7 linked regions of the Cricetulus griseus genome follow. The protein of the gene in region 5 interacts with the protein of the main gene of each other region in a pairwise test. Links are inferred from orthologs where the notes say so. Each region holds a gene or a part of one and is shown on either strand. Other genes may lie near its edges. The genes, in order: Fosl2, Cebpe, CCAAT/enhancer-binding protein alpha, Hsd17b14, Ddit3, Batf and CCAAT/enhancer-binding protein gamma.

Evidence for each region.
Region 1: the proteins of Ddit3 (region 5) and Fosl2 interact in binary tests that used the Homo sapiens proteins (3 or more experiments, as listed by UniProt). The two-hybrid records come from large-scale screens. The link is inferred for Cricetulus griseus from reciprocal best matches to the Homo sapiens genes DDIT3 and FOSL2.
Region 2: the proteins of Ddit3 (region 5) and Cebpe interact in binary tests that used the Homo sapiens proteins (3 or more experiments, as listed by UniProt). The link is inferred for Cricetulus griseus from reciprocal best matches to the Homo sapiens genes DDIT3 and CEBPE.
Region 3: the proteins of Ddit3 (region 5) and CCAAT/enhancer-binding protein alpha interact in binary tests that used the Homo sapiens proteins (3 or more experiments, as listed by UniProt). The link is inferred for Cricetulus griseus from reciprocal best matches to the Homo sapiens genes DDIT3 and CEBPA.
Region 4: the proteins of Ddit3 (region 5) and Hsd17b14 interact in binary tests that used the Homo sapiens proteins (3 or more experiments, as listed by UniProt). The two-hybrid records come from large-scale screens. The link is inferred for Cricetulus griseus from reciprocal best matches to the Homo sapiens genes DDIT3 and HSD17B14.
Region 6: the proteins of Ddit3 (region 5) and Batf interact in binary tests that used the Homo sapiens proteins (3 or more experiments, as listed by UniProt). The link is inferred for Cricetulus griseus from reciprocal best matches to the Homo sapiens genes DDIT3 and BATF.
Region 7: the proteins of Ddit3 (region 5) and CCAAT/enhancer-binding protein gamma interact in binary tests that used the Homo sapiens proteins (3 or more experiments, as listed by UniProt). The link is inferred for Cricetulus griseus from reciprocal best matches to the Homo sapiens genes DDIT3 and CEBPG.

Annotation. Positions count from the first base shown.
Region 1 is NC_048600.1:12,321,797-12,325,296, forward strand, and holds part of Fosl2 (fos-related antigen 2), read right to left. Parts: intron 2,187-3,500; coding exon 2,079-2,186; intron 1-2,078.
Region 2 is NW_023276807.1:209,925,861-209,929,891, forward strand, and holds Cebpe (CCAAT/enhancer-binding protein epsilon), read right to left. Parts: upstream 2,630-4,031; 5' UTR 2,080-2,629; coding exon 1,570-2,079; intron 1,008-1,569; coding exon 672-1,007; 3' UTR 501-671; downstream 1-500. UniProt on the Homo sapiens protein: Transcriptional activator. C/EBP are DNA-binding proteins that recognize two different motifs: the CCAAT homology common to many promoters and the enhanced core homology common to many enhancers.
Region 3 is NC_048602.1:3,363,748-3,367,870, reverse strand, and holds CCAAT/enhancer-binding protein alpha, read left to right. Parts: upstream 1-1,323; 5' UTR 1,324-1,447; coding exon 1,448-2,563; 3' UTR 2,564-4,029; downstream 4,030-4,123. UniProt on the Homo sapiens protein: Transcription factor that coordinates proliferation arrest and the differentiation of myeloid progenitors, adipocytes, hepatocytes, and cells of the lung and the placenta.
Region 4 is NC_048599.1:154,464,429-154,468,723, reverse strand, and holds the start of Hsd17b14 (17-beta-hydroxysteroid dehydrogenase 14), read right to left. Parts: upstream 2,801-4,295; coding exon 2,713-2,800; intron 1,887-2,712; coding exon 1,848-1,886; intron 1,693-1,847; coding exon 1,610-1,692; intron 756-1,609; coding exon 689-755; intron 1-688. UniProt on the Homo sapiens protein: Catalyzes the NAD(+)-dependent oxidation of L-fucose, yielding L-fucono-1,5-lactone, which rapidly converts spontaneously to L-fucone-1,4-lactone. Can also act on D-arabinose and L-galactose, with lower catalytic efficiency. Does not use NADPH.
Region 5 is NW_023276806.1:130,434,180-130,438,227, forward strand, and holds the start of Ddit3 (DNA damage-inducible transcript 3 protein), read right to left. Parts: upstream 2,801-4,048; 5' UTR 2,586-2,800; coding exon 2,546-2,585; intron 339-2,545; coding exon 291-338; intron 1-290. UniProt on the Homo sapiens protein: Multifunctional transcription factor in endoplasmic reticulum (ER) stress response. Plays an essential role in the response to a wide variety of cell stresses and induces cell cycle arrest and apoptosis in response to ER stress.
Region 6 is NC_048598.1:118,099,470-118,103,592, forward strand, and holds the start of Batf (basic leucine zipper transcriptional factor ATF-like), read right to left. Parts: upstream 2,801-4,123; 5' UTR 2,546-2,800; coding exon 2,483-2,545; intron 202-2,482; coding exon 97-201; intron 1-96. UniProt on the Homo sapiens protein: AP-1 family transcription factor that controls the differentiation of lineage-specific cells in the immune system: specifically mediates the differentiation of T-helper 17 cells (Th17), follicular T-helper cells (TfH), CD8(+) dendritic cells and class-switch recombination (CSR) in B-cells.
Region 7 is NC_048602.1:3,438,890-3,443,159, reverse strand, and holds the start of CCAAT/enhancer-binding protein gamma, read right to left. Parts: upstream 2,801-4,270; 5' UTR 2,646-2,800; intron 698-2,645; exon of another isoform or gene 466-697; intron 1-465. UniProt on the Homo sapiens protein: Transcription factor that binds to the promoter and the enhancer regions of target genes. Binds to the enhancer element PRE-I (positive regulatory element-I) of the IL-4 gene. Binds to the promoter and the enhancer of the immunoglobulin heavy chain.

The sequences.
Region 1 (3,500 bases), on a different chromosome or scaffold from region 5:
GATGAGGAAACCAAGGTTCTGAGAAGTTTGCCCATCTGCCCAAAGTTACAGAGCTAACGGAGAGGCCAGATTTGAATTCCAATGCATCTGACTGGAGTCTGTATGCTGCTACACTCCACCCCCATGATGCCAGTACCACCATTGGGTCCCCCAACAGGTTAGAGTGGGATACTCATAGAGAAGGGGAAACTCTGCTCACTCTACCATTTCAGCCCGCCAGGGGACACAGATGCTGAGCTGGATGCTGAATGAGAGCAGACTCCCACGCATAAACTCCTACCCTAAGCACTGGACCGAAAAGTGCCTGGCTTGTGATAAATGCTCAGCTGATCACTGATGGATCCTCCCTTTCTTATTCTGGTTTCTAAAGCCCACATGCCTAGACCAGAGACAGCAAGGGACACATTTAGTTCCACTGTGCCCAATAGAGGGGCACCTGACAGCCCATAAGAGCCTATGAGGATGCCAAGCTCACCAGGGAAGCCTCCACTCCCCTCCTTCACACAGAGCCAGAGCAGTCTGTGGATTGGAATGGCTGGGGAAAAGAGAGGCATGCGTCACCAGTCTCCTCCCCACTTTTTCTCTAACACAGATTCCCATTCACAAATGAAGAGATACGGGCAAGAGCTTCATTAAGCACACTATGGTATATGCCGGCGTGAAAAAAAAAAAAAAAGTTTCCATCTGTCTCAAGGGTCTGACGAACGTCAGAGGCTTCCTGTGAGGATGTGGCTCAGGGGCCTGGGTAGCTCAGGACGTGGGGGAGGCGGAGAAGTAGGGTGTGAGACTTCTGGGAAGAAGAGAGGAAAGCAGGGAGGACTCAGAGGAGTGGCTGTTCCGGGCTGAGGGATGTCCTCAGGGAGTCATGGTAAGGCATAGCTCCTTGAAGTAGGAGAGAATGGCTAGCAGTGGAAGTCTCCGCTGAGGGAGCCTCCATGGTGGGCTGATCACTCCCTGGTCTGCCTCATCTGGGAAGGAAGAACTTCTACCCTCATCCCCACTCTGACACCTCCTCAGGCCATGAGTACAGGCACCATGGGATTCACCAAGTATATATTTTAGTGAGTGTGCCCAAAAGTTAGGGCTGAGGCATGAAGGAAACAGCTGAAAGCAGATAAACTCCCTGGAAAGATTAAATAAATTCTAGATCTACTCGTCAGTCACTACGTGAGGACTTTGGACAATCTCTCGGCTCATCTCCTCCTTCTGAGAGCACTGTGTCCCAGGCTTGGGACCTCCTCTACCAGACGCTCAGCCCTTCCTTCAGGGCCAGACACAGAAGGGAGTTACGTGACATTGGTCAGGTCAAGCTCAGAAGAGGGAGGGGCAGGACCATGTGCCCCCTCCTCCAGGTCTGGGCAATTAAGAAGCATGGGACAGTGACTCACAACAAAGCTCTCAGCTCACCATAGAGGTGGGAAACCTTCCTGCCAATGAAGGATAGACGAAAGTTCCAAGAAAATGTAACTCAACTGACATGTGACCTGTCTACATGAGAGTGCTTGCTCCCACCCCACTCAAATCAGGGTGCTTCGGTCAGGCTGGGCCACCTTTGCTAACCTTGGGAATGGGGGCAACTGGAACCCTGAAAAGGAGCCATGGAGAGGCAGGTATTGCTGTGCCTGCCCTAGCTCCCTGGAACTATCAGCCCTCATCCAGGAGCCCCAGGGGTCTGACGACAGAGCACACTTAGGTACTGAGTGAGAAAACATACTGCCCAGAAAGGTGGTCTGCTCCTCTCTAGGCCTACACGATGGCAATGGCTGGTTCTTGTTTTGTTTGTTTGTTTTTTGAGACAGGGTTTCTCTGTGTAGCGTTGGAGCCTGTCCTGGAACTGGCTTCGTAGACCAGGCTGGCTTCAAACTCACAGAGCTCTGCCTGCCTCTGCCTCCCAAGTGCTGGGATTAAAGGTGTACACTGCCACTGCCTGGCTGATTCTTATACATTCATTTATCCATTCTTCCCACTCCCAGTTGAGCATAATGTTGACCCATGTGCTCAAAAGAATTTTCTGTCTCTCCAGACTCATCACTTGTAATGATAGTACTGGGAGGGCCACACCACACACAGCTCCTTACCGCCTGCAGCTTCTCTGTCAGCTCACGGCGACGGTTCCGACACTTGGCTGCAGCCAGTTTGTTCCTCTCCCTCCGGATTCGACGCTTCTCCTCTTCTTCAGGAGACAGCTAAAGAGGCCAAAGAGGCCAAGGTCAAGAGTCATGATCGGAATGCTGCAATGGTTCATGACATTTTAAAAAGCTGTATTTTAAGGACTACAAGCTGTCCTTTAGAATTGAGGAGGGAAAGAGATGTGTTGCCAGGCTCAGAGGTCCCCAGGGCATGAGGTCAGTACCTTGTGGTTGCCTGGAGGGAGCTTGTAGACGGCTCTGCTTTGGAATGTGACAAGGTGACGTTGCATGTTTAAGGGGACAGCAGACCAAGAGTGGGAAAGGAGCTCAATGGCTCTGCACCAGGGCAGGATTTGTCTGTCAGCTCTGTTTGAAAGCCTTAGGCAGAGAAGAGCCCTGCCAGCAAGCCAGGTCTGGCCTCACCTGCTGTAGCAGCTTCCTCCAAAGCCTAGCTAATTACCCTCCCATCACGCTCTATGAGCCTCACCACCACCTTTGGTTATGTAGAGTCTCCACATAAGTGAGATCCACCCATGGGGTGGGAGGGGTGCTGATGTATTGTCACCAGTGGGAGGGCCATGGGTACCACTGTATTCCCAACTTCCTCTGCCAACCAGAGTACCAGCTTCTCAGAGGTCTCCACGAGGACTCCTTGGAAGCCTGCCACAGTGCTAGGCTGGGCAAGAGAAAAAGCAGCCTAGGCATAAAAGTCCCACTGTCCAGCCTTTCTGCTTATTTGATTGATGGTGATCATCTATATGAGACATAATCCCAGGAGTTGGGGCTGTGAACTCAAGGACACCACCCACACACACACCCCCAGGAGAGATCAGGAACTAGCTCCTTCTGGTGAACCAGTCAGGGACAAGGAATTCTGTTCACACACACTGCCAAAGAGAACGCCATGGGCCAAAGCACAACACAGGATAAAGGGAAGACCTTCCCGTTCAGACCAGACAGGGGTGCATGCCTACTGTGTGCCTATGCTCTGCTAGGGGCTTCAAAGAGTCTAAGTATGACACCATGGAAAAGCTGAAGTTGCTCCAGAGAGAGAAATATCCCTAACTACAGACCACACCATGAGGAACAAGTCATTTGTGCTAGCTGGGCTGGGCTCAGGTCAGGACCCCAGGAAGCTCCCTCCCACCCTGGCAGTCCATGGCTGTGATGTCCTGAGTGGCCAAAAAAAAGCATCAAATGAGTAAATCCATTCCATCTAGATGACCCCACCGGAGGTCACAGGCCACTCAGCTAAGACCTGCTCCCAAACCTGTCTTGGTCCAAGCCTTACAAAGTTGGTAACCAAGAAAGCCTGTGGGTCTTGTGGCAGTCCTGGGTTGAGGTTTCTTTACAGCCCCTGGACTCCCCTGA
Region 2 (4,031 bases), on a different chromosome or scaffold from region 5:
GTTCATCTTCTCCAGTGTTAGGGAGCCAGGGCCTAGGGGATGAGAAATAAAGATAGGAGTGGAGATGTGGAACAAGAGAAGAGAGACAGAGAGCTGGGTCAAGAGCTAAGGGACCACAAATATGGCAGAGTCATTAGAAAGTCACCTGGGAAAAGAGCTTCCAGGCCTTAAAGCAAGAAAGCGGGCCTAGGGTCAGTGGGCCTGGCACTGGTGCTGTGCAGTGTTGGGATCACCCTGAACCCCAGAATTCTTCAAGACAAGACAGTCTGCAGAGGCTGCTGCAGGCCCTGGCATGAGCAGTGGTGACACCAAGCAAGCTCGGCTGGAGAGAGTTGTGGGCAGCAATTACTAGGTTTATTTACTAGGTGTTCATGTGTACACGGATACAAGAACATGTGAACCTAGCCACATGTATTCCCTGCCCTCGGGGTCTTCCATGCGTGTATATGCACAGCCCTCCCACCAGGCCCAGGCCCGAGACCCAGTGAACAGCTCCAGCATCAAGTCACACTGCAGTTTATTCAGCAACAGAATCTTTATGGTCCCGACCTTCCCAGCTACTGGCTGCCATTGTCCATGATCCCTATTTTAGGCATCGTCTGTTCAGGACTCTGGGGACCGAGGAGGGTAGGAGTCCTTAGGGTCTGGTGTCCATAGTCTGCCAAGCAGGCTCAACTGCAGCCCCCTACACCCTTGATAAGGCTGGCAGCTTCAGGGATCTGGCGGAAGAGGTTGCGAAGGGTGTCTAGCTCCTGGGTGAGCTGCTCCACACGGCTGCGCAGGCGTTCGTTTTCAGCCATGTACTCCAGCACCTTCTGCTGTGTCTCCATAATGCGCCTCTTGGCCTTGTCCCGGCTCTTGCGTACTGCAATGTTGTTGCGTTCGCGTCGCAGCCGGTACTCCAGGCTATCTTTGTTCACTGCCTTCTTGCCCTTGTGTGAGGGCCCAGCTGGGGAAGGTGCCTTGAGTAGGGGGCTGCAGGGAGGGGCAGCAGCAGCCACAGGGGCCTGGAGGGCAAGTCAGAGGGACAGAGAAGTGAGGGTCCATCAGCAGGCAAAATAGGGGCTGAGCAGGAATCCCAGCAGCAAGGGCACACTTGGGGCTTCCAAGGAATAGAGGGCTCCCAGGCCGCTCCCATCTCCCAGTCATTGCCCTTTCTCTGTGAAAGACGGGAACCCAGATGCACTTGGTATTTGGTTTGAGATCAAAGCTGTCTTTCATGCTCTCATTTTCTCTTAGGACACTTTCCTTTGGTTTGTCTGTTTTAAGTCTCCTGTTCTACAATTCTACAATCAGCAGTATTTCCTCTTCCAGAAGCACACAGCCGAGAAGCAAGAGAAGGGGTATATGGACCGCAGATTAGGGCAGAGCAGCTACCACAAGGTCTTCAGGACACAGTGGAGCTCGGAATTCACGGAGTGGGGAAGCGAGGCCGTGGAGTGGGCCGTTTTCACAGAGGAGCACCAAACATAGACTTGTTGGGTAAGCCCCATGTCAGAGTTCCCTCATCCAACCAACCATCTTGCTCCAACCCGGGGAGGAACCAAGGGAGAGCTGTCTTGGTCTTACCTTGAGGACGCGTAGAGGCTGGCCAGGTGCTGCCAGGGTCGGGGGAAGGTGCACTGCTGTCTGCCCACAGTGTGCCACTTGGTACTGCAGGGGATTGTAGCCGCCTCGGCTGGTACCTCGGCTGCCCTCTGGCCCACGGGGCTCCTCCTTCACGGCCACAGCCCTGGGGTCGTAGCTCCCTGGGTTACCGTAAATGCCAGGCCCCAAAGCCTTCCTATCTGGGCCAAACGTATGTGAGGGATAAGCAAATGGCCGAGGGTCAGCCGGCAGGTAGTGGGGGAACGAAGGGGTTCCTGGGCCCTTAAGGTTTCGGGCTTCAGGTGCTGGCTTCATGGCAAAGAGGTCAGAAAGTAGCTGCTCTTCCCCAGACTCGATGTAGGCAGATAGGTCGATGGAGGCCTCATGCTCACACATGTCCCCCAGCTCCCCGGGCCCAGCTCGACCCCCTGAGAACTCGAGTGGCTGCTGGCCACCCCGAGGCTCACACTCATAGTAGGTCCCGTGGGACATAGCCGTCCCGCCCCTTTGGCTCCCCGCCCCTGGGTCCTGTGCTGGGGCACTCCTTGGGATGAACGCTCAGCCTGCCCTCTCTTGATCTCCCCCGGCCCTAGAGTTGCCCTAGGTCTGACCTCTCTGGTCTTTTCTGTCCCCCACTCCTACGTGGCTTCTCTCCTCCTCCTCTGCTTCCTTTTCCTTCTGTAGTCAGAGCCTCTCCTTTCTTCCCTTTTCCCCTCTCTCCTTGGTGTGAGTCAGGGAGGGGCAGGGCACACCCCAGAGGGAGGGGTGCTTAGCAGTTAGGGCGCTCTTTGGTGAGGCCCCAGCCACAGTCCAGAAGTTGCTGTTTGGGAAAATGTCCCCTCTTGTCCTATTAGGTTAAGGGATTCCAACCCCTTGTCCAGGGTAGCTCCTCTGAGTGTCTGTCTTCCTCCAGCTTCCAGAAAGATCTGTGCAGAGTAGGGCACCAAGCCAGAGCCAGTAGAGAAAGCACTCCTCCAGTGCCAACTTGGTCTAAACTCCTCCCTTGAGCCATCTTCCTCCCTGTCCCCCCAAGTCCTGAACTCCACCTCCCCGGGGGGTAAGTCAGTTCCTTGTATAGCCCCACCTCCCACAGCATTCTCCCCAGTGTAGGCATCATTGTTTGAGGGTTTTGGGAAGTAGTAATAGATTCTAGGACCAAGCCTCCCCTGGCCCTAGCACAGGGCACACTCATTTGCTAGTTTTGAGACAGGGTCTCACTATGTAGTTCAGGCTGGCCTTGAACTCGCAGAGGTCTGCCCGCCTTTGCCTCCAGAGTGCAGCTTTATTAAGGGTCTTTGGCTTGGTCTTTGTACAGGGCTTGTTCACATGCTTCCCATCCTGGCTACCTCTAGCAGCCTGCCACAGTTTGCCTGGACATAGCTGAGGTTTCTGGTCAAGACATGGGCCCTGAACCTCACAGGCTGCTGCCCCAGAACAGACAGACAAGATCCATGGAGGCCCCAGTTGCTCCACCTTCACTGAAAGAGGCTCAGGCTGACCCCACCCCACACTGGCTAGAGGCTCTGCCTCCTACTTCCTGTGCTCTGGTGTGCATGCAGGCTCTGGAGCTCACTGTAGCTTCGTTTGCTGTCTTTCCTTCTGCATGACTGTTTTCTGACCTCTAGTGTGTCCACTTCCTCTTGTAAGCTTGAGAAGTCTTCTCTCTTGTCCTCACCTCTTCTTGGGGATGTCTCTGCGACCATAGGAGAAGCCTGTAGTTGCCTGACTGTTCTTCATTGTCCACTAATCCCCAAATTTCACTTTTCTTTTCCTTTTGGGAATGCCCTGCTCCCTAGTCAGAGGTATCTGTTGTGGTTCTGGTTTTCTAGAGCCCTTCAAGCAGGGCTCCAGGTTTAGTGGCAAGAAAACACGTAGAAATGAGAAATGTGTTTCCTTCCTTCCTTTCTCTCTTTTTTTCCTTTCTTTCTCCCCCCCCCTTTTTTTTGAGACAGGGTTTCTCTGTGTAGCCCTGGCTATCCTGGAACTTGCTCTGTAGACCAGGCTGGCCTCAAACTCAGAGATCCACCTGTCTCTGCCTCCCGAGTGCTGGGATTAAAGGTGTGTGCCCCCACTGCCTGACTCCTTTTTATTTGTTTAGGCTGAGGCTCCCTGTTTGCCTAGGCTGGCCTTGAACTCTCAGTCTTCCTGCTTCAGCCTCCCTAGAGCTGAGTTGACAGGTGTGACATCATACCTTCTTGTCTCTTTTATTACTAACATGTTCTGGGGAGAGGGACAGATTCTTTTTTCCTTTTCTTTTTCTTTTCTTTTTTTTCCAAGACAGGGTTTCTCTGTAGGTTTGGAGACTGTCCTGGAAATCACAGGACACATTTCTTTTTTAAATGTCTTTATTTTTTAAATTGTAGGGGTGTGTGTGCACGCACGTGTGTGCGTGTGCATGTGGGTATGTGCACACTTCGAGGTTTCCAGAAGATATCAGAAAGATA
Region 3 (4,123 bases), on a different chromosome or scaffold from region 5:
CTCCACGGCCGCGATCCAGGTGGAGAATGAGCCCGTCGCCAACGCCACGTGGCTGGGGAGACTATGCAGGCAAACTCCTACCCAAGCTGCGAGCCTGCAGGCGGCGCGGCCCCGAGGATCCCCGGGACCCGACAGGGTACTCCCAGGGGGTGCTCAGACTCCGTAGCCAGGGACTGGACACTCAGGCGACGGAGATTGGCGCCCACCCGAATGACAGGAGGGAAAGAAACCTGTGGCTTTAGGCTCCTGACTAAGGATCCCGCTTGGGGATCCCGCTCACCTCCTCTCTGTCTCTGTCTTTCTCTCTCCCTCCCTCTCTCTCCCACACCCTGCCCTCTCCCCGCCCCCGCGCGCTTGCCCTGGTGTCCTGTTCCCCGAGTCTCGGAGGACCCACCCGCCGGTCCCGAGGTCCCAAGCGCTCGGCTAGAGGCTCCACACCAGGCAGCAGCGCCCGCCTTGGAAGCCTAGCAACCCCGGCGCTCTGGCCGGGAGACGTAATTAAAAAGAAAGTTTTCCAGCCGGAGCGGATGGACCGGCCAGGTCCTCGGGACTCCCGGGTTAGCGGCCGCCTTCGCTCCCTGCTGGGTCCTAGCGCCCTGCTCGGCGGATCCCGCGGGACCCCGGGGTAGGGAGGCTGGCTGGGCGGGGAAGAGGCGCCCCGCCTGGAATAATCAGCGGGGTCGCCTGGAGTGGAGAGAGAGAGACACACACAATCTCAGCGCTCCGGCCCCTGCCACTCTGCGGCGCGCGCCAGGTCGCCGCTCCAAAGCAAGTCACAAAGCAGCTAGGTCCCTGGCTGGGGGGGGGGGGGGGACAGGCCTAGTCCTAGCCTTTAAGACCAGTCTGCACCCCGGTAGCTCAAGACGAATATTCCCTCTCCACCCCCTACCCCTACCCCTCCCTGCTCGGCCTCTGGATGCTCCCGGGCTCCCCGGTGTTGGCTGGAAGCGGGTGACTTGGGCAGGCTTGCAGGAGGGGCGCCCAGCCGCGGACCACGTGTGTGCGGGGGCGACAGCGCCGCCAGGGTGGGGCCGAGCGCAGGCCGGGCTGCCTCGCAGCGCAGGAGGCAGTGGGCGTTGCGCCACCGCCTCTCCCCCTGCACGGTGCTCCCGCCCCGCTCGCCGCCTGGGAGAAACACAGAGGGCGAGCGAGAGACAGACAGCGGGCTCTAAGACCCAGCAGGCGCCCTGCTGCCCTCGCCCTGGGCCCGGGACCCTCTTGGACACCAGGGGGCGACGTCCGATCCCCCTATAAGAGCGGATCGCGCGCGGGCCTGACCATTCGCGACCCGGAGCTGCGCGGGGCGCGCGAGCGAGTCGGGGGCTCCGGCGGGGCGGGCGGCGAGCGGGCGGCGGTGAGCGGGCGAGCGGCGGCGGAGGCAGCGGCGCCACGCGCAGGCTGGAGGCCGCCGTGAGGCTCGCCATGCCGGGAGAACTCTAACTCCTCCATGGAGCCGGCCGACTTCTACGAGGCGGAGCCGCGGCCCCCGATGAGCAGCCACCTCCAGAGTCCCCCGCACGCGCCCACCAGCAGCAGCAGCAGCAGCAGTAGCAGCGCCGCCTTCGGCTTCCCCCGGGGCGCGGGCCCCGCGCCTCCCCCAGCCCTACCTGCTGCCCCGGAGCCGCTGGGCGGCATCTGCGAGCACGAGACGTCCATAGACATCAGCGCTTACATCGACCCGGCCGCCTTCAACGACGAGTTCCTGGCCGATCTCTTCCAGCACAGCCGGCAGCAGGAGAAGGCCAAGGCGGCCGCGGGCCCCGCGGGTGGCGGCGGCGGCGGCGGCGGTGACTTTGACTACCCGGGCGCCCCGACGGGCCCCGGCGGCGCGGTCATGTCCGCGGGGGCGCACGGGCCCCCTCCGGGCTACGGCTGCACGGCGGCCGGCTACCTGGACGGCAGGCTGGAGCCCCTGTACGAGCGCGTCGGGGCGCCGGCGCTGCGGCCGCTGGTGATCAAGCAGGAGCCCCGCGAGGAGGACGAGGCCAAGCAGCTGGCGCTGGCCGGCCTCTTCCCCTACCAGCCGCCGCCGCCGCCGCCGCCGGTGCACCCGCACGCGTCTCCCGCGCACCTGGCCGCCCCGCACCTGCAGTTCCAGATCGCGCACTGCGGCCAGACCACCATGCACCTGCAGCCCGGCCACCCCACGCCGCCGCCCACGCCCGTGCCCAGCCCGCACCCCGCGCCCGCTTTGGGGGCTGCGGGCCTGCCCGCCCCCGGGGGTGCGCTCAAGGGTTTGGCTGGCGCGCACCCCGACCTCCGCCCCGGGGGCGCCGGGGGCGCCGGCGGCGCAGGCGCGGGCAAGGCCAAGAAGTCGGTGGACAAGAACAGCAACGAGTACCGGGTGCGGCGGGAACGCAACAACATCGCGGTGCGCAAGAGCCGCGACAAAGCCAAGCAGCGCAACGTGGAGACGCAGCAGAAGGTGCTGGAGCTGACCAGTGACAATGACCGCCTGCGCAAGCGGGTGGAGCAGCTGAGCCGGGAACTGGACACGCTGCGGGGCATCTTCCGCCAGCTGCCCGAGAGCTCCCTGGTCAAGGCCATGGGCAACTGCGCGTGAGGCGCGCGGCTGCGGGACCCCACCGCCTTTGGGCCGGCCACCCCACCCCACCCCTGGCCGGGGACCCGGAGAATGAGTTCGGGTCGCTGCATCTCCAGGCTGCCCCGGGCCCGTGAAAGCCAGGACTAGGAGATGGCGGTGTTGTCGTCTGAGAGCTTGGCCTACTCCGCGTGTCCCCTCCCTTCCTCTGAGCCGGGACTCGGTGCGTCTAAGATGAGGGAGTCAGGCCGCAGTTTTTCTCCTGGAGCCCGGGAGACTTGTCCGCGGAGCTGAGCCGGGAGCCCGCCCGGCCGTTCTAGTATTAAGTAAGGAAGTCACCCTGTGCCTTGGATACTCAGAACTCGCTCCTTTTCCTACCGAGTAGGGGGAGCACACATGTGCCTTGATATTTTATTTGGAGGATCCCTGCCTTCTCCGAGGCTGCGGCAGGCCCCCCCCCATGAGAGCATGAAGGGTGCAGGCCCAGGGCAGGAGAAAGAAGATTCAGGAAGCTGAGATCCCGGCAGGCAGCGCTCCGCTGCTGCCCCTCCGTCCCTGTCCTTAGAGGGGAGGGACTTAGGGAGTTGGGGATTTGAGTCTGTAAGAGTACCCCTCCCGCACCCCTCCCCCTCATCCATTTGGAGGTGCACGGTTCTTACTTTTCCCACCTCCACCTTTACTCCGCACCTCAGCTTGCAACAGGCTAAGTTTCCTGGGTGAGTTCGTGGAGAATGGGGGGCGCCACCCCCAGCTAGACCAGAAAGCTAGGCTGTAAGTTAGCCATGTGATTAAGGGAGTAGTGGGAGACGGGAACCTAAGTTTCTGGTCTTGGGGGGAGAGGGGATGAAAGGACACCGGGACCATCAGCCTTGTGTGTACTGTATGTCGCCAGCCGCTGTTGCTGAAGGAACTTGAAGCACAATCGATCCATCCCAGAGGGACTGGAGTTATGACAAGCTTCCCAAATATTTTGCTTTATCATCCGATATCAACACTTGTATCTGGTCTCTGTGTCCCAGCGGTGCCTTGTGCAATGTCAATGTCCACGTCTATGCTAAACCACCATTTTATTTGGTCCTTTTGTTTTGTTTTGGTTTTGCTCAGATTCTTGCCAAAATGAGACTCTTCGCTAGCGGCTGGGGGAAGAAGCTCGGGCCCTCTTTCCTTTTTGGTTTGGGGATTTTTTTTTTTTCTTTTGCTCCCGGAGGACCACCACCCTCCCTCCAGTTTTCCCAGGGTGTCGTTGTGGGTCTTAGCTTCTTCCAGCTGAGACTACTGTATACACAGGCATCCTCCCCCGCCCCCACCCTCAGGCCCTGGCTCTGGGTCTGGAAAGAAGGTCACCTCCAGCCAATTCGTGCACACCCCTGTGGCTGGGAGCAGGGGTGGACTGCTACCTTCTCTTCTTTGGGGGGAGGGGGCACACACAAAGTTTCATGCTAGATGTCGTATGTATTATATCTATAATATAAACATATCAAACTCAACTTTGGTGTCTTTTTAAAACCAGAAAGGAGCCACTTGTAAGGTGTGTTCTGGGTTCCATTTGAAATGGCATTTTCTGTGTCTGAGGTCTCAAGC
Region 4 (4,295 bases), on a different chromosome or scaffold from region 5:
GATCCACTCTGCCTCCCTAGTGCTGGACTAAAGGCATGTGCCACCACCACCCTGCAGCTGTGATAATTCTTATTTCAAAGATGGAAACTGAGTCACGGAGATGGGGAGCACATAGCCTAGGAAAGAAGCTCAGGCTAGAGCTATGTATTAGGATGGGGGAGGATGGAGAGATGACTGCAGTTATGAGCACGCTCAGGCTGCTCTTCCAGAGGACCCAGGTTCAATTCCCAGCACCCACATGGCAGCTCACAACTGTCTGTAACTCCAGTTCCAGGGGATCCAACTGCTTCTTCTGGCCTCTGTGGGCACCAAATATGTAAGTGGTGAACAGACATACATGCAAATAAAAATACGTGCACGTGCACGTGCACGTGCACACACACACACACACACACACACACACACACACACACCACGAAGGCTGTGGCCTGAGAAGGGAGTAAACTGAGGTTCAGAGGAAGGGTTGAGATGCCTCAAATGTAAAGGCACTTGCCACCAAGCCTGAGAACCTGAGCGCAACCCCACATGGTACAAGGAGAAAGCTAATCCCCTCCAGTTGTACTCTGAACACCACACAAGTACTGTATGCCGGTGTGCAGATAAATGTAATCATCTCTAAGGGGAAGGAATAGGGAATAGGTTGTAAGTTGACATCAGGGGACACTAGGCCCCAAGCCACACAACTTACGGTAGCCAGCATTATTCACCACACAATCCAGGTGGCCAAATCGAGAGAGGGTCTCAGAAATCAGAGCCTGAGGAGAGAACAAACAGCAGGTGATGAGCAGTGAGGTGGCAGCCTTGGAAAAGCCAAAGCAAGGACAGGCTCAGTTGTGGAAGACAAGGTAGGGGGAGGGAGGAGAGGCTCAGGGTCACAGCGCAGGTCTAGAAAGAGGAGAGAAGGCAGGAAGCTGGGGGCCCAGACCAGAGACCTAAGCACCCACGTTGCTATTTGTCATAGTTAGGGTTTATGGCTGTGACCCAACACCAGGAGCGAAAGCAATCTGGCGAGGAAAGGGTTTATTTCTGCTTACAACTCTCAGGTTACACGCCATCACTGAGGGGAGTCAGCACAGGAACTGAAGCAGAGACCATGGAGGAACACTGCTCATGGCTTGCTCCCTGTGGCTTGTTCAGCCCCCTTTCTGCCGCTATGTGATGTCACAACCCCCAGGGGGCTGGGGGCTGGGGGCTGGGCCCTCCCACATCAACTACTAATTAAGAAAATGCACCACAGCCCGTTTGGTGGGGCCATATTCTCTGTTGAGTCCCCTCTTCCCAAGTGACTCTAGCTTGTGTCAAGTGACCAGCACCGCCATAGAAGATGAATGCGAGGGCAGAAGACTGAGTCCGGGAAGAAGCGACGATAGATCCAGAGGGGGCGGGGAGCAGACAGGCAGAGGCAGGGACACAGAGACAGGGCACAGACTGGGGACAGACCTGGGGACACAGAACTGATTCTGAGCGCAGGGGAATCAGAAATGACAACAGAGGGTGTGGATTTCAAGTTCTGCTTGATCTAAAGAATGGAGCGAGAAGGGGCAGATGGACTGTGCTCACTGAGCTGACCCAGGGCACGGAGAAGGGGGAGTGCACTGGGAACGCCCACCTGCAAATCTCCTTCCTGAGTCACATCACAGGGGACGAAGACAGTGCCCAAGAGTTCCTGCTCCAGAGCCCGGCCCCTCACCTCTGCAAGAGAAAGACTCGGGTCTGAGGGAGGGAGCTGAGGCTTGGATCAGAGTCTGGGGAGGAGCTTGGACTCCTGAGTCTGGGGTCTGAGGGAGCAGGGCTGGCCTTGGATCCCTGCGATGACGGAAGGAAGGCATAGTTGAGGACTGACTTACCATCCTTGTCGCAGAAAACAACTTGAGCCCCACTGTCCACTGCCAACAGAGAGAGGAGAGAGAGAGAGAGAGAGAGAGAGAGAGAGAGAGAGAGAGAGAGAGAGAGAGAGAGAGAGAGAGAGAGAGAGAGAGAGTGAGTTATGGACCCTGCAGACTCGGGGCGAGCCTCTGCTGCCTCTTGTGACACGGAGAGCACCTGGCTCTCGGCAGCTCTCGTGACTGCCTCGGGACAGGCCTCTCAAAGGGCAGAATTTCCCTTCCTCTGCTCCACCGCCATCCTAGGTTCCAGAAAAATCCCAAACCTAACATTCCTCAAAGCTATCGTTTGTAGCTAGGGACCCATCAAGGGAAGAACTCTTTTTGGCTTTTCGAGAGGGTTTCTCTGTGCAGCCCTGCCTGTCCGGGAACTCTCTGTGTAGACCAGGCGGGCCTCCAACTCAAAGATCCACCTGCCTCTGCCTCCTGGCCAGGCAAAGAACTCTTCATAAAAGTCTTATCGGCACCAGCAGAAGCCATCACTACACCAGCTTACCCAACAGTCCAAACCGCCTCATGTAAGAATGAGACTGAGGGCCGCAGAGATGGCTAAGTGGCGAAGAGCACTGGCTGCTCTTCCAGAGGACTCGGGTTCAATTCCCAGCACCCACACGCTCACAACTGTAACTCCAGTTCCAGGCGATCCAACACCCTCACACAAACGCAAAACAATGCACAGAAAAAAAAATAAGAATAGACAAATCACTAAGGAATGAATAAATCATTTTAAAAAGAGTGAAACCAGGTCTCTCCCTCCCACTCCGTGAATCTGTCACCCCACCCCACCCTTTCCCACATTCAGACATCGGGCAGGAAGACCCTGACTCACCGAAGGCTCTGACGATCCCAGCCCCAATGCCTCGACCACCCCCGGTCACCACCACCACTTTCCCGGAGTATCGGTTTACAGCTGCCATTCCCAGGTGACTTGTCTTGTCTCCCACGCCCTCGCCCTCCCGGCCTCTTTCGACCTCCAAAGTCCAGGAAAGCAGTGGGATGGAACCAGACAGGCTGGGTCCTTGTAGGCTGGCCCTGGAGGGGTGTTCCCGGGAGGGCCACACACCTGCGAACCTGCCTCAGACCTGGAGGTTGAGTCCTAGCTTCTCTTTCTCAAACGCTGGGGTCCCCACCCTGACACTCCTCCTTCAGACTCAGGGTCCTGGCCCCAGCCCGCCCCCATCACGTTGACTCTAACCCTGTTCCTGAGACCCATAAGATCAGCACCTCTTCCTCTGACCTAGAAAAACAGGCTCTCCAGCCTCCTTCCCCAGACACAATATATCTGGCTCCCAACTTCCTCATACTGTTAATCACTACCACAATTTGATCCAAATTTGGAGCAAGCTTGTCTGCCTTGTTTTTATTGGGATTCACTCAAGAGCTGGCCAGTGACTGCCTGCTAAATCAGGTTAAAGAGAGCAGCCCCGAATCCACCTCTTGGACCTCTTTTAAGAAGTAAAATCACAAGTAGTTTTACAGAAGGGAGAGAATGGGACAATAAGAAAATACAAAAAAAAAAAAAACTTAAAAAGTCATGAGGTCACCCATCATGTGATTAGGGAGGTGTCAGGGAGGGGTCAAGGAGAGCCAGGGTATTCTCAAAAACAAATCAAGGTCAGATTCCAAAAAACAGAGAGCAGCTCAACTCTCACAGTAAATAGAAACTTATTTATTTTTTATTCTTTTTGGATTTTCCAGACAGGCTTTCTTGCCCTGCAGAAACTTATTTTTTTAAAAAACTGCATAATGGAGTCAGACCGGTTCCTCGTTCCCCCTTGACTTGTGTTTCCCTGTCAAGTCCATGATGGGGGTTGTCTTAATAATATTCTCAAGCAGCAGTGATTCTAACATTGTTTATCTGACAAGTGATCAAGTTAGTGACACACTGGAGGGCACAGGGCCAGATTATGATAACAAGTATAACAAGTAGAAGTTGGGCGTTGGTGGTGCACACCTTTAATCCCAGCACTCGGGAAGCAGAGGTAGGTGGATCTCTGTGAGTTCAAGGCCAGCCTGGTCTACAAGACAAGAAAGGCTCCAAAGCACAGAGAAACCCTGTCTCAAAAACCTCCCTCCACCCCAAAATCGAAAAAACAAACAAAAAGCCAAAAAAAAAAAAAAGAGATAAAAAGTAGAAGTAATATTACAGGGCCAGTGAAGGGGGAGAACCATCTTAGCCATATTGGCCAGGCCAAGTTTATTTGAGAGACTCTGTCTGTTTCTTTACTTAGGTCACCAGTTTGGTTGTCAATAGTGTTATTCTTTTGTTTAAAAAGAAGAGAAGAGAAATGCTTAGACATGAGACATATTGACTATAAGTTTATTATAAGGCCCGGCAGAATGGGGAGACTAAGAGAAGAAGAACAGGGTAATGGCTGACCGCCATGGCCTGTCGCCATAGAGAGAGCGCAT
Region 5 (4,048 bases):
ATTTGTGTTCCTTTCTCTTGTGTGGGAAGCTTGGGCAAAAGGTCCTTGGGGTTTGTCTAACCTTGGTGTGGACTGAATCGGAAAGACAAGCCAATTGCCACTGTTGAGGCTGGCTGTGAGAGCCAGCTTTCATTTGGGAAGTGCTCTAAAAATAATGTTATGGTGTCAGAGAAAGACACAGTCTGACAGCAAAAGCTTGTTGAAATCAAATTCTCTCTAACTACTGTCCCAGCAAAGTGACCCTAAGCAGCATTGGGAGTTAACTTTGAGAAGGGGTTGGTGAAGTTTACCTGCTTTCAGGTATGGTGATGTATGAAGATACTCTTCCTTCTGGAACACTGTGGAGAACAGAGATACATGTTTACTGTCTGAAGGGAAAGAAACAGGGTCTTTACCTCTAGCCTTTTATCCTTTGGTCCTTCTCTATTCCCCTCTCGCCCCTTCACAGAGTTTCTCTGTGTAACTCTGGCTATCCTAAAACTAGTTCTGTAGACCAGGCTGATTCTCTCTCTCTCTCTCTCTCTCTCTCTCTCTCTCTCTCTCTCTCTCTCTCTCTCTCACATACACACACACACACACACACACACACACACACACACACACACACACACACACGTGCGCCAATTCCAAGGACAGAGGCAAGCTTGATTTTATTTTTAGTTACTGACATTTGTCCTGATTACATAATAGCAACATCCTAGCCAACTAAGCTTTCTCTAAATTCCAGATAGACCTCAAATCTGCCAGAGTGAGGGCTGCACTACAGGGAAGAGAAAAATATGTGGGTGGCACTTGCTACATATACTCCAATATCATATTGGCCGCTTCTGGTCTAGACCTGTCCTGGGACCTCCAACTCTGTTGTCTACTTGCTATATCACCTTTTGAATGTCTATCAGGCATTTACAACAATCTCCTGCTGGCCTTTCCTTTCCTAGGTTGTATTATTCTAAGTGGCAACTCTACTTGCTTAAATCAAAAAAAAAAAAAAAAAAAAAAAAAAGGTATCCTTGCTTCCTCCTCTCACATCCCCACAACTCAGTATAAAGCAGCACAGGCAGCTTTAATACATTCTTTTTAAGTACCTAAAGCCTGAGTATTTTCTTTCTTTTTTTTTCAAGACAAGGTCCTAGAACTTGCTCTATAGACCAGGCTGGTCTTGAACTCACAGAGATCCACCTGCCTCTGCCTTCCAAGTGCTGGGATTAAAGGTGTGGGTTACTGCCATCCAGCAAGCCTAAGTATTTCTGTTCCCATTATTTCCAAATGGAAATCAATTTACCTCACTTCCCGAAGATTACTGTGGAAGACTCATTCAAGAAATCTCCCATTTCTTTTTTTCTAGACAGAGTCTCACGATGTAGCCATGGCAGTCCTGGAACTCATTATGTAGACCAAATTGGCCTCAAATACACACAGATTTTATTACCTCTGCTTCCTGAGTGCTGGGATTAAGGTGTATGTCACCATGCTCTATCAAGATCTACCATTTCTATTCCTGTCTTTTATTAGTTTAGTTTCATAGTTGGGGGTTGACCATAGGTCCTCTATAAGCTAGGCAAGCAGTCTACCATTGAGCTACATTCCCATCCTTTTATTTTTGTATTCATTTGAGTCAAGGTCTCACTATGTAGTCCTGGCTCCTGAACTCAGAGATTTGCCTGCCCCTGCCTGAGTGTTGGAATCAAATACATATGCCATGACACTGGGCCTTATTTCATTCCTCTACCCAGATCCCTCCAGTGGCTTCCTGTTTACCCCACCCTCTCTCATATTCACTCCCATCCAGCCACTGCCCTATTTTACCAGACATGCTTTATCTTAACCCTTCTGCTCCCACAGTTCCTTCTGGAAAGCTCGTTTACTCTATCTGCATGGCTCACAGGCTTGCCTTCTCTGGATCTTTCACTAAAAACCCCAGTGAGGCAATTCCTAACACCCACAATCCTGAGCACTCTTATTTGTCAGCTCTTGCTTTCTGCAGAAATACAGGCCCAGGCCGAATTGAGATCAGTTTTATCTTTTGCTCCTCATATACTCTGGGTTCTCAAATGCTTGGCACATAGTTGATGTTTATTAAGCATTTGTTAGGAATGAATAGGGAAAAAGCCACTCCCCCAATTTCCCCTACAGAGAATGGAGGGCTAAGCCCAGAGGCAGAGCCGGTGCTGCCTATCTCTGGGGACTGGAGATGCAATATTGCCCTGAGTGTTTCTCTGCAGGGCTGTCCTCTGGGGGAAACTCCCTCGGTTTTCCAGTGTGTGGGGCCTGGCTTTCATCAGCAGTGGAGCCCCAGGCCAGAGGGCGCAGAGATAAACAGTGGGCCGGCCTGACGCAATGGTTACAGAGATTAGTGAGGAGTGGACTGGGGAAAGAGACAGAACTCAATCCTAGGAGCAGCACAAGACCCTGGAGAGAGCCCAAATAATGTCCCACGGTTACAGATCCAGGCTGCTCTCTTGTACAGAAGCCTCCGGGGAAAAGGGGAAAACCCATCTGTGCTCCTCCCACCAGCACCCCGCTAGCAAAGGTCTGTCAGTCTTACGATTCTCTTGAACTTTAGGGTCAGCGACTAAGGTGGCCATGCTGGCCCCCGAGGAGCTTGGGAGAGCCGGGGATAACGAAGCTGTTGGATAAGAGGGGGAAAAGCCAGAGTCCTTTATATGGGGGTGTGTCCTGCTGCCCCGCCTTTCACCGGACAGGCCTAGGATGGCCCGCAGTTCGCCGTACAGAGGAGGAGGATGGATCTCCCGGGGACAACCAGAGTCCCTCTGCCTAACGGCACAGTCTAACTAGGCAGGGGAACGGTGATGCAATCGCCCGTAGGAAGAGGGGTCATGTGAGCGCCACTCCAGGGTCAGGGACTCCCGCCTCCATCCCTCCCTCCGACTACAGGGCCACTTTGGAAGGGGTGGGGCTACATCCTCCAGAGCAGTCGCCCCCAACTTTATGGACTAGCCATGCTGGCGAGAATGGGGAAAGAAGGGGTAGACGGCGTCGGTACTCGCCTCGCTCCTCAGGTCCCGGCTTTTATTTTGGCTCTGTCGCTGCCACCCGTTCATCTTCAACATGATATGACCGAAGTGTGAGACTCAGGCTACTGACCTCTGCAGCGCCGAGAGAAGATATTTTATGCGGGCCCGTCCCCTCTTTTGGGGGCGGGACCCAGGAGCCTGCCAATCAGAAAGCGGCACGCTGGCACTGACTCCGCCCCACCCCTCACATCCGCCACTCAGGAGCCCCCTCGGCCCCGCCTCCGCCCCGCCCTCTGGTTGGAGAGCTACGTTGTCTCGGACCCGGAAGTGGCTTTGGGTCACGAGGCTCCGCGGAGGAGGTGAGTGAGTCATGCACGCGCGCGCGCGCGCGCGCGCGCGGGCGGGCGAAGGAGAGTGCGGCGAGGGAGGGATGACGGGGGGCGGGGATGATGCAATGTTTGGCAACCGGTGTCTGCGCGCGCGCACGCGCAGGGGCCGCCGACGGTGGTGGGAGGCGCGGGTGGGGGGGTGAGAGGGAAGAGGGCGGAGCGCCAGCTCCCAGTATCCAACGGCCCCAACGGCTGTCCTTCCTGAACTTGTCTGCCCAGGAGCTGCGGCTCTGCCCACCCACCTCCCATCACCTCCAACTTGCTCCTCCATCCAGACTCCCAGCTTCCCGGCCCCTCCCAGCTCATGCGCGCCGAGGCCCTGGAACCGCGATAAAGTTTCCATTAGTCCTACCTGGACTGACATCTTCTCCAGCCCTTTAGAAGGGATCTCATCTCTTTTAACCTCCTAACGCTTCCCAGAGGCTGAGGTCCTGGCATTTCCATGGTAGTCCACCCGCTTGTCTCGGGGGAGCACCTTTGGCGTTTGTTTCTGAGTCGCCCACTGCACGCCAGAATTCCTGTTCTTTGTAGCGTGCACCCGAGTCCCACCCCCTACTTATCGCACCCCTGCTCGGCGCCCACCCTTTCTCTTCTCCCTGACCGCAAGTCCTGTGACTCCCTGCTGAGCAGCGGGCCTGTAGGAGTCTGGGGTCATGACCTACAGTAAGGACTGGGACGTGCATG
Region 6 (4,123 bases), on a different chromosome or scaffold from region 5:
CCACAGCAGAACCATCACAGCTGGCTCTCACAGCCCCACTGACGTGGGGTGAAGAGCCTAAGGCACAAGAGCACCATAAGAAGTCTGGGTACTCACCAAGTGCAGGGTGTCGGCTTTCTGTGTCTGCCTCTGTCGACTCTTCTGGGCAGCAATGCGGTTCTTCTCCCTCCTCTGAACTTTTCTTACATCGTCGGATGAGTCCTAACAAGCAGTGAAAGCAAGAACTAGGTAGGTCCATCCCTTTCTTCCAGTCAAAATGGGTTCTATCGTTTAACTGACTCCTTCCTTCCTTCCTTCGTTCCTTCGTTCCTTCCTGGTCCTCAGTTCCTTCTGTACCAACCATACTCTTATTTACAAAAAGCCTGCACCCAAAGACATTTCCTTCAGCATTCCCTGCTACCGGCCCTCAGGTTGCCCATGGCCTTCTTTTCATCAAAAGCTACATGAAGAAATAGCTACATCAAGGCTTCAGGAGGGCTGCTTTGGGAAGCCTCAGATAAGACAATGATATCTGTCCCATCACCTCTGCTCTCTCCAGAGCTATTCTACCCCCACATTCTCTATCTGGGGTGTGTGTGTGTGTGTGTGTGTGTGTGTGCGCCTGCCTTCTTGGTGTTCCTTTTGCTGTTTTCTTTTTTTCTTGAAAACTTTGTTGAGCATCCATTATGTGCCAATGTCTGTACAAGTGCTTTCAGAGATACTATGCTACAATCCCCCAGCTCTCTGAGCAGGTACAGTCATATCTATTTTACGCAGGATGAAGCTGAGGCTTGCCACGCTGGTCCTTGAGCTCATGGCCATCCATGGATATGACATCTCCTGGTGCTGATTCTAAAGCCTGAATCCCCTCTCCACCAGCAATTTTCTTGTGCTGCACCCTTAGGCAGAGGGCCCCACCCCAGATCTCTCTTTCCTTCATCCCCTTTATTGTGCAGCCATCTTGAGACCTTTCTAGTCCAGACCTTTGATGCCTGCTACAATGAGGGGCCATAAATAAGTCTATGAGTTGAGGTGGAAGCCACCTGCTTTAGAGAGCTACTAATGTGGACTTTGGAAGACAAAGCATGCTTTGGATGTAAGTAAGTCCTAAAGAAGATCAGGGAGGTTCATTCTAGCTTTGCAGGTCAGTGAAGACACTAAGAGAAGCCCTTCAGCAACTCCTACCTTGTCAGAGAGGTCACAAATCCTGGGGCCAGGCTCTGACCCTCTTCCCTCTTTATCCAAAACTTCCAGATCATTCTAGCAGGCAGACATTTGGTGAAATAGAGCAAGGAAGCACCCTTCTCATAATGCTGCAGGGGACGAGTTTACCATGGAACTCTGAGTAATTTCCTTCTTAAGAAGAGTATGGTACCATCTTCCACACAGTCTGAGCCACTCCAATACCATTGTGACCAAGGGACTGACTATTTTCCTGTAGAGGTCTTCACCGGTACGGCTTTTTGGTTAGGAGCTTACAGTAGGTGTAATAGCAGATGATGGCCTATGACAGATGTGGTAAGGGGTGGCTGCATATTTCTATTTTGGCTGCAGCATTTTGCAAGCCCCTGGGATATGTGTAAGGAAAGCACTCTGCCCTTGAGCGATATGCCCTGCCCTATATGTGTGCTAAGGAGAGGATGAAGTTTTTAAGTTACTGAGATGTAGAAAAGCTTAATCCAGTGGGTCTATGCTGGATGAGGAAGAGAGTTTTCTAGAGCAAGGGTGTCAAGAATGTGGTAGAGAGAGCTCCAGAAATTTCAAGGTGGGAAGGGCATCCCATCTGAGGCATCTCTCCTGCGCTGAAGCATCTAGGTTTGGCAATCAAGGCTCTAAGACTCCCAGAATCCTTCCCTCCGTCCCCGGCTTCCCAAAGATGATGTTAGCTTCTAGTTCAGGTCTCCAACAAACCTCCAGAGCCACTGCCTTCTTTCTCCTCTCTGGAAGCCTCAGGGAAAGACGCTGGCTGTGACTTCAGCCTCCCTCCCCACTGACTGTTGTAGTCACAGAGGCCGTCCCTGGGCCGGTAGATTAGTTATCCTTTCCTTCCTCCCTACCTTGCTTTGGCTTACTGTATTTCTCTTCCCTAACCTCGGTTCTGTCTGGCCCCTTGGCTCTTCCTGGAAAGCTACAGATCTAGGATTTGGGTGGAGTCCGCCAGCAGCCTACTGACAGATTCCTCTGCTAGCGGTATGAACCCTTCCTCTAAGTTCTGTGATATTCACCCTGACCCTTTCTTCCTAGAAAGTTTCACAGTGGGAACCTAAGTGTGGCCGAGATGAGGCACACTGCTAGGAACAGAGGAAGGGGGCTTGTGGCGGGATGAAGGCTTTGCCACTTGTACCTCCGAATAGCAAATACCACATCCAGACTCTGCTAGAGAGCACCCCGCCAAGTAGAGAGCTACTTCCTCCCCCCCCCAAAAGCTCCCCAGGCAGAACTGGGGAGTGTGGCCCTCTTCCACCACCCCAGGGTATTTAGAAGGCAGGGGATGTAGGGGTACCTGCTTGCCAGGGGGAGGAGAGCGGCTGAAGCTGGAGTCGCTGCTGTCGGAGCTGTGCGGCATGGCTGTAATCTTCCGGACTCTCCCACAACCGCCCAGATGCCCCTGGGCGATCTTCTCACTAGCTGGCTCCTCTTCCTGACTGCTAGGGGGCCACCGGCCCGCCACCTTCCACGGGTGTCTCCCTTGCTTGCCCGGCAGCCACCTCCGACGGCCCCCTGTGTCCTCCTGTCTCTGGGGTGCAGAGGGACTGCTCCCCAAAGGGACATCTCGCTTACTTTGGGGCTTGCGCACACGCTCTCTCTTGTGGTTTCTGGTAATTCAAGCTGGAAGTCACATGGGCGGAAACGTCAACAAGTTAGAAGGTAGTTCGAGAGAAAATACATATCTGGGAAAAGACCACAGAATTAGGTGAAAGAAAAAAAATACACAAAACCCCAGTTTCTTCCGGCAGTTTGAAAGGCAGAGCAAGCTCTCTTCAATTGATGGAGATAAAAGAGAAAAACAGCCAGGCAGGGAAAATCCCCAGCCAGAATTAGCAAGTCCTCTTCTGTCAACATGGCAGAGAGCGGGGAACAGCGGGAGAGAGTTTCCACCGGCACACGACTTGAGTTTTAAACACAAATAAAGCAACAAGACCGGGACCTCTTTCTGGGTTTCACCCGAAAGCAGCTGCCCACCCTGTTTTGGGTTGAGCCTTCCTCAGTCACCCACAGGACAGTGCGGGTGTTCTGGGGACAAAGGAGAAGGAGGGCACTGTCTTTTACAGACTGCCAAACAAGAAGTTGGGACTCTCTGAGAGTCACAGAGAGGCTCTGGAATGTATACCGTGTACACCCTGTCCCTTGCTTCCTAGAAAGTTTCACGGTGGGAGCATAAGTGTGGCAGAGTTGAGGCATACTGCTAGGAACAGAGGAAGGGGGCTTGTGGAGTTTACCATCACCTGTGCCTCTCAGCAGGGCTCTGACATTCTCCCAAGAAAAGGGATGCCTTCGGTGGAGAGGTTGACCTTCAGGAGTTCAAGATTGACCTTGAATCTTTAGGAGTCAGTCACCAGGTCAGAACCCAGCAAGGAGTGAATGTCAAAATGGGTGAGGGAAGTTCTGGACTTGTATTCAGATCAACAGTGATGAAAACCTACCTCCACCCCCACCTAAAACCTGCCCTGCCTACCTCTCAGGGTTACTGCAATGAGTGAGGAACAATTTGAATTGTAATGCCCCCATACCCTGTAAAGCATGCTATGGAGATGCTCATGCTTGTCATATGTGCCATGACAAAGCATGTTTGTAGTTTTCCTGAAGAATCCCATTCTCATCTTTGGTGATCTAAAACAGGTTTGGGGAAGAGAGATGGCTCAGCAGTCAATAGCACTGGCTGCTCTCCCAGAGGACTTGTGTTTTTCTATTCCCAGCACCCACGTGGGGGCTCACAACCATCTGTAGCTTCAGTTTTGGGGCCTCCAACTCCCTCTTCTGGCCTCCTCATGTACTAGGAAATGCACAGGGTACACACACACACACACATACACACACACACACACACACACACACACACACACACACACACGTGCAGGCAAAACATTTATACACATGAAAATAAAATGTCTTGCTATGTTCCCAGTGTGGCTCAAAGCCAAAT
Region 7 (4,270 bases), on a different chromosome or scaffold from region 5:
TAATTGTGTTCCATCTTGCTACTGGAAACCCATGTCTATGGCTCCAAACTACAGGCCCCCAGCCTCTACAGTCCCTGCTCCCTGATGCTAACTCAAGGCCACTACCAAGTGCTCCCGAATGTCTGTTTTCTTCCCTTTGTGCTTTCTGTCCAGTCCACTCCCCCAGTGTCTTTGGAACTTCAGCTTCTGTGTCTCCATGGAGACTGTTGGAGGCAAGACCCACGGAGGAGAGGACACTCCACTGGAGGATGTGAAGAAAACGCCATGTTTCTTTGAATGTTACCCTTTAAACCTTTTCTAGCACATTCAAAACAAAAATGTTTAGGAATATACATTTATTAGGAGTTCCTGTTCAGGTTTTGGTGAGGTATGTTTTTTGTTGTTGTTTTGTTTTGTTTTCTTCTCCTCCATCCCCTTTGACAGCAGGGGAGAGCAAAGGGATAGGCAGGGAACCAATAAACTTACTAGTCATTACTGTGACTGAGTGAGGCAACTTTCGACCTGACCGGGTGCTCTGTCTCTTTCCCATGACCTCAGGAGGGAAGGTTCCCAGGGGCTTTCCTGGGGATCATTTAATGCGCCAGGGATGGAGGCACCTCTCCAAGATCACAGAGCCTGGCTGACAATCATGACGTGCTTGTGAGACTTTAAAGACGCTGGGGGAGGGGTGGCGTCTGTTCCCACCTATTTGTTTCTCCTAGGTAACAAAAATAACTGAGTCAGCCAAGCAGGTCCACCAGAGGCAGGAAACAGGCTCAATTTTTTTTTTCTTCAGCTCAGTTAGCATCCTGTAATTATTGACAGTTTTTCAGAAACAGGGAAATAACCCTAGGGGCTGCTTATCAAACAGCAGAAGACCTCAGAGCTCTCTGAAGGCTTGGGGTGTGGCTCAGAAGCAGAGGGGCTTGCCTACCCACCCCGCAATGCATTCTCCTGTGTAGCATTCCTCAGTAAAGAAAGCTTCATGTGAAATGTTCCTCAGGTCTGCATTGGATGGTGTTCTATTCGAGTAAAGGATTCAAAGGGGGTGGAAACTCGGGAGACACCACCCCCAGCTGTTGTGCAACCCCAAAGGTTAAAACCTTTCTAAAATTGACACATCTTAACGATGAGGCTTACAATATATAAAAAATAAAATAAAATAAACCAAACAAACAAAAAAACAAAGCCCTCACACAGGAGCAAAACTAAACACGCCAACCTTCCTGAGACCACACACACACACACACACACACACACACACACACACACACACACGCTCACACTCACCCTTGCAAACACACACACACACTCATCCTTGCAAAGACACACACACACACACACACACACACACACACACACACGCTCACACTCACCCTTGCAAACACACACACACACACCACACACTCCTTGCAAAGACACACACACAACACACACACAAACACGCAACACGCTCACCCTGCAACACACACCCACACACACACACACACACACGCTCACAGTCACCCTTGCAAACACACACACACACACACACACACACACACACACACACGCTCACAGTCACCCTTGCAAAACCACACACACACACACACACACACACACACACGCTCACCCTTGCAAAGACACACACACACGCGCACACACGCACACGCTCACCCTTGCAAACACACACACACACACACACACACACACACACGCTCACACTCACCCTTGCAAACACACAAACACACACACACACGCTCATCCTTGCAAAGACACACACACACACACACACACACACACGCTCACAGTCACCCTTGCAAACACACACACACACACACACACACACACGCTCATCCTTGCAAAGACACACACACACACACACACACACACACACACACGCTCACCCTTGCAAACACACACGCACACACACGCTCACCCTTGCAAAGACACCATCCATCCACCCCGTCACACATGCTCGCCCGACCTGGGGACCTCGGCGGGCTCATTTTCCCCCGCGTTCCCTGCAGCCGGACCTGCTGCTTGGCGGGGAACCGGTGGCGGTGGTGGTGGCGGTGGGTGCGCGATCCGGGTCGCCCTCCCGGTCCCCGTCGCGGCTGAACCGCATGTCCTCAGAACCCAGACCAAACAATGCCCGTCTCTTGCAACCCTGTGTGTCTGAACGTGCACGGGGCGCTTCCCCTGGGTGAGCCGTCACCAGGGTAACAGCTCCAAAGGGGACCGGGGGCCTTCCCCACCTCTCCCCGCCACCCCGACCGAGCGACAGACAGCACGGGGTGCTAGGTGGCTCCAAACGAGCACTGGAGGGTCCCCCTCCTCCTCCCCGTCCTCCTCCTCCAGGGCACCCTCCATCACCCCCGGGGGCCGCCCGGTCCTCCATCCCGTCCCCGCCCGCGGCGGAGGGGGCGCCCGGGCCGGGCCGGGCCTGGCCGCGGCCAGGGATGAGCTCAACCCCGCCGGGTGTTGCCCGCAGGTTGCATCAGACGCCGCTCGGGGCCCCCGCCCGCGCCCGCGCCGCCAGCCGCCGGCCGCCGGCGAAGGGGCCTTCCGGGCCAACCTGCCGATTCGGGCCGGGCCGGGTCGCGTCGGGCCCGGGCCGGCACCTACGCGAGCGGCGGGGCTCGGCCGCGGCCTCCTCTCCTCCTCCTCCCCCGACCCCTCCTTACCTGCGCCTCCGGCCGGCCCGCCGCCCCCAGGCGACCTCCACTCCTCCGAGCGGCCCCGCGCGCCGCGGCCCGACCCGACCCAGGCCCCGCAGCCCGCGAGTTCGCCGAGGAGGAGCGACGGTTACGAAACCGGCAGCCTCCGCCCGTTCCGCCGGCCGCCGCCGCCGCGCCGCCGCCGCCGCCGCCGCCGCCGGCTTTCCCCCGCCCTCCTCGTCGTCGTCGTCGTCGTCGTCGCTCCGCGCGCCGCCGCCGCCGCCGCCGCTACGCCGCCGCTGCCGCCGCCGCCGCGGCCAATAGGAGCCCCGGTCTGCGAGGGACGCGCCCGCCCCTCATGACGGGCAGCGCCGCCAGCCAACCAGAGGCCGCGTGGCCTCGAGGGGCGGGGCGTGGCGGGGCTGGTGGGCGTGGCGGCACCGGCGGTGGCTGCAGGCGGGCTCCGCGGTTGCTCGCCCCTTTGGCTGGCTGGCTGCTGCTGCTGCCATGGGCGGGCGGCGGCGGGAGTGACCCCTGGAGAATCAAAGTTCTGAGTTGTCACCTTGCGAGGCCCTCGGCCGCCTGCCTTTGGGAAGCGACGCTTCCTGGGGTGGATTTCTGAGTGGCTTGAGTTTTGTGTTAAGGCCTTAGGGCGCTGAGGCTTGTGCAAACTTTATGATTATTATTATTATTATTATTTTGACAGCTGCAAGAGTTAAGGGTTAGCACGCTCGACACCCTCGAGGACTGCGGGCAAGCCGTGATTTCCCAAGCGGGCTCGCCTCCGTGAGGACAGGTGATGGGCAGCATGCATGGCACGGTCTCTGAAAGTGAAGAGCGGCCCTGGTTCTCCCAAACGGTTCACAGCAGGAGCAGAAAAAGCACTTTTGAAAAACAGGAAGCAGCGCGCTGGGTGGAGGGCAGAGCCCAGCCTGATAGGGTTTGATTGCTTCCTCTTTAGCAATGCTTATCATTCAGAACTCGCTGGCTTGCAAAGGGGAAATGTTTCTTCATTGCCAAGGCCAGGAGAGCAGGTCTCCACGTAAGACTGTTTCGAGGAATCCCTGGGAGATGAGAATAACTTCAAAAAGGGGGGAGAAAAGAGCAACCGCAGAGAGTGAACCCTGATAACCCTGTGCACGCTTGGGAAACTGAGAAGGCAATCAAGACCAGTTATGTCTCTTCAGGTTCGGACCTCTGTGTTATGAGCCAGATTTTCTTCAAGGCTATCAAAGTTGGACTGTGCTTTGTCCCTCACAAAATCATGATTTTTTTTTTGTAATCATATAAAACTACGGAAAATAAAAGCAGCCTTGCGTATCACATACGCATATTGTTGAGTTAGCCTCTGGTTTGCCAGCCGCTCTGTTTTCTGTGTTGTTGTCTAGACAAGCCTTCCACACCCAGCAGTCACAAAAAAGCCCAGGAGTCTTGAGATTTCCTCCTCACCAGATAGCTGGTAGCACTTTCCCTGTGTACAGACGTGTTTGGTGCCAACTATGTGCTGAGGTGTGGACTAAGCTGGAAGTCAGCAAGGAAGAAGGCAAACGCACAGTCTCAGCCCACATGAAGCTTACTCTGAGAACCAGAGAGACATGGTTCCAGCACCACTTTCATAAAGACACTTATGGGAAAAAAGTTATGATGCCTGG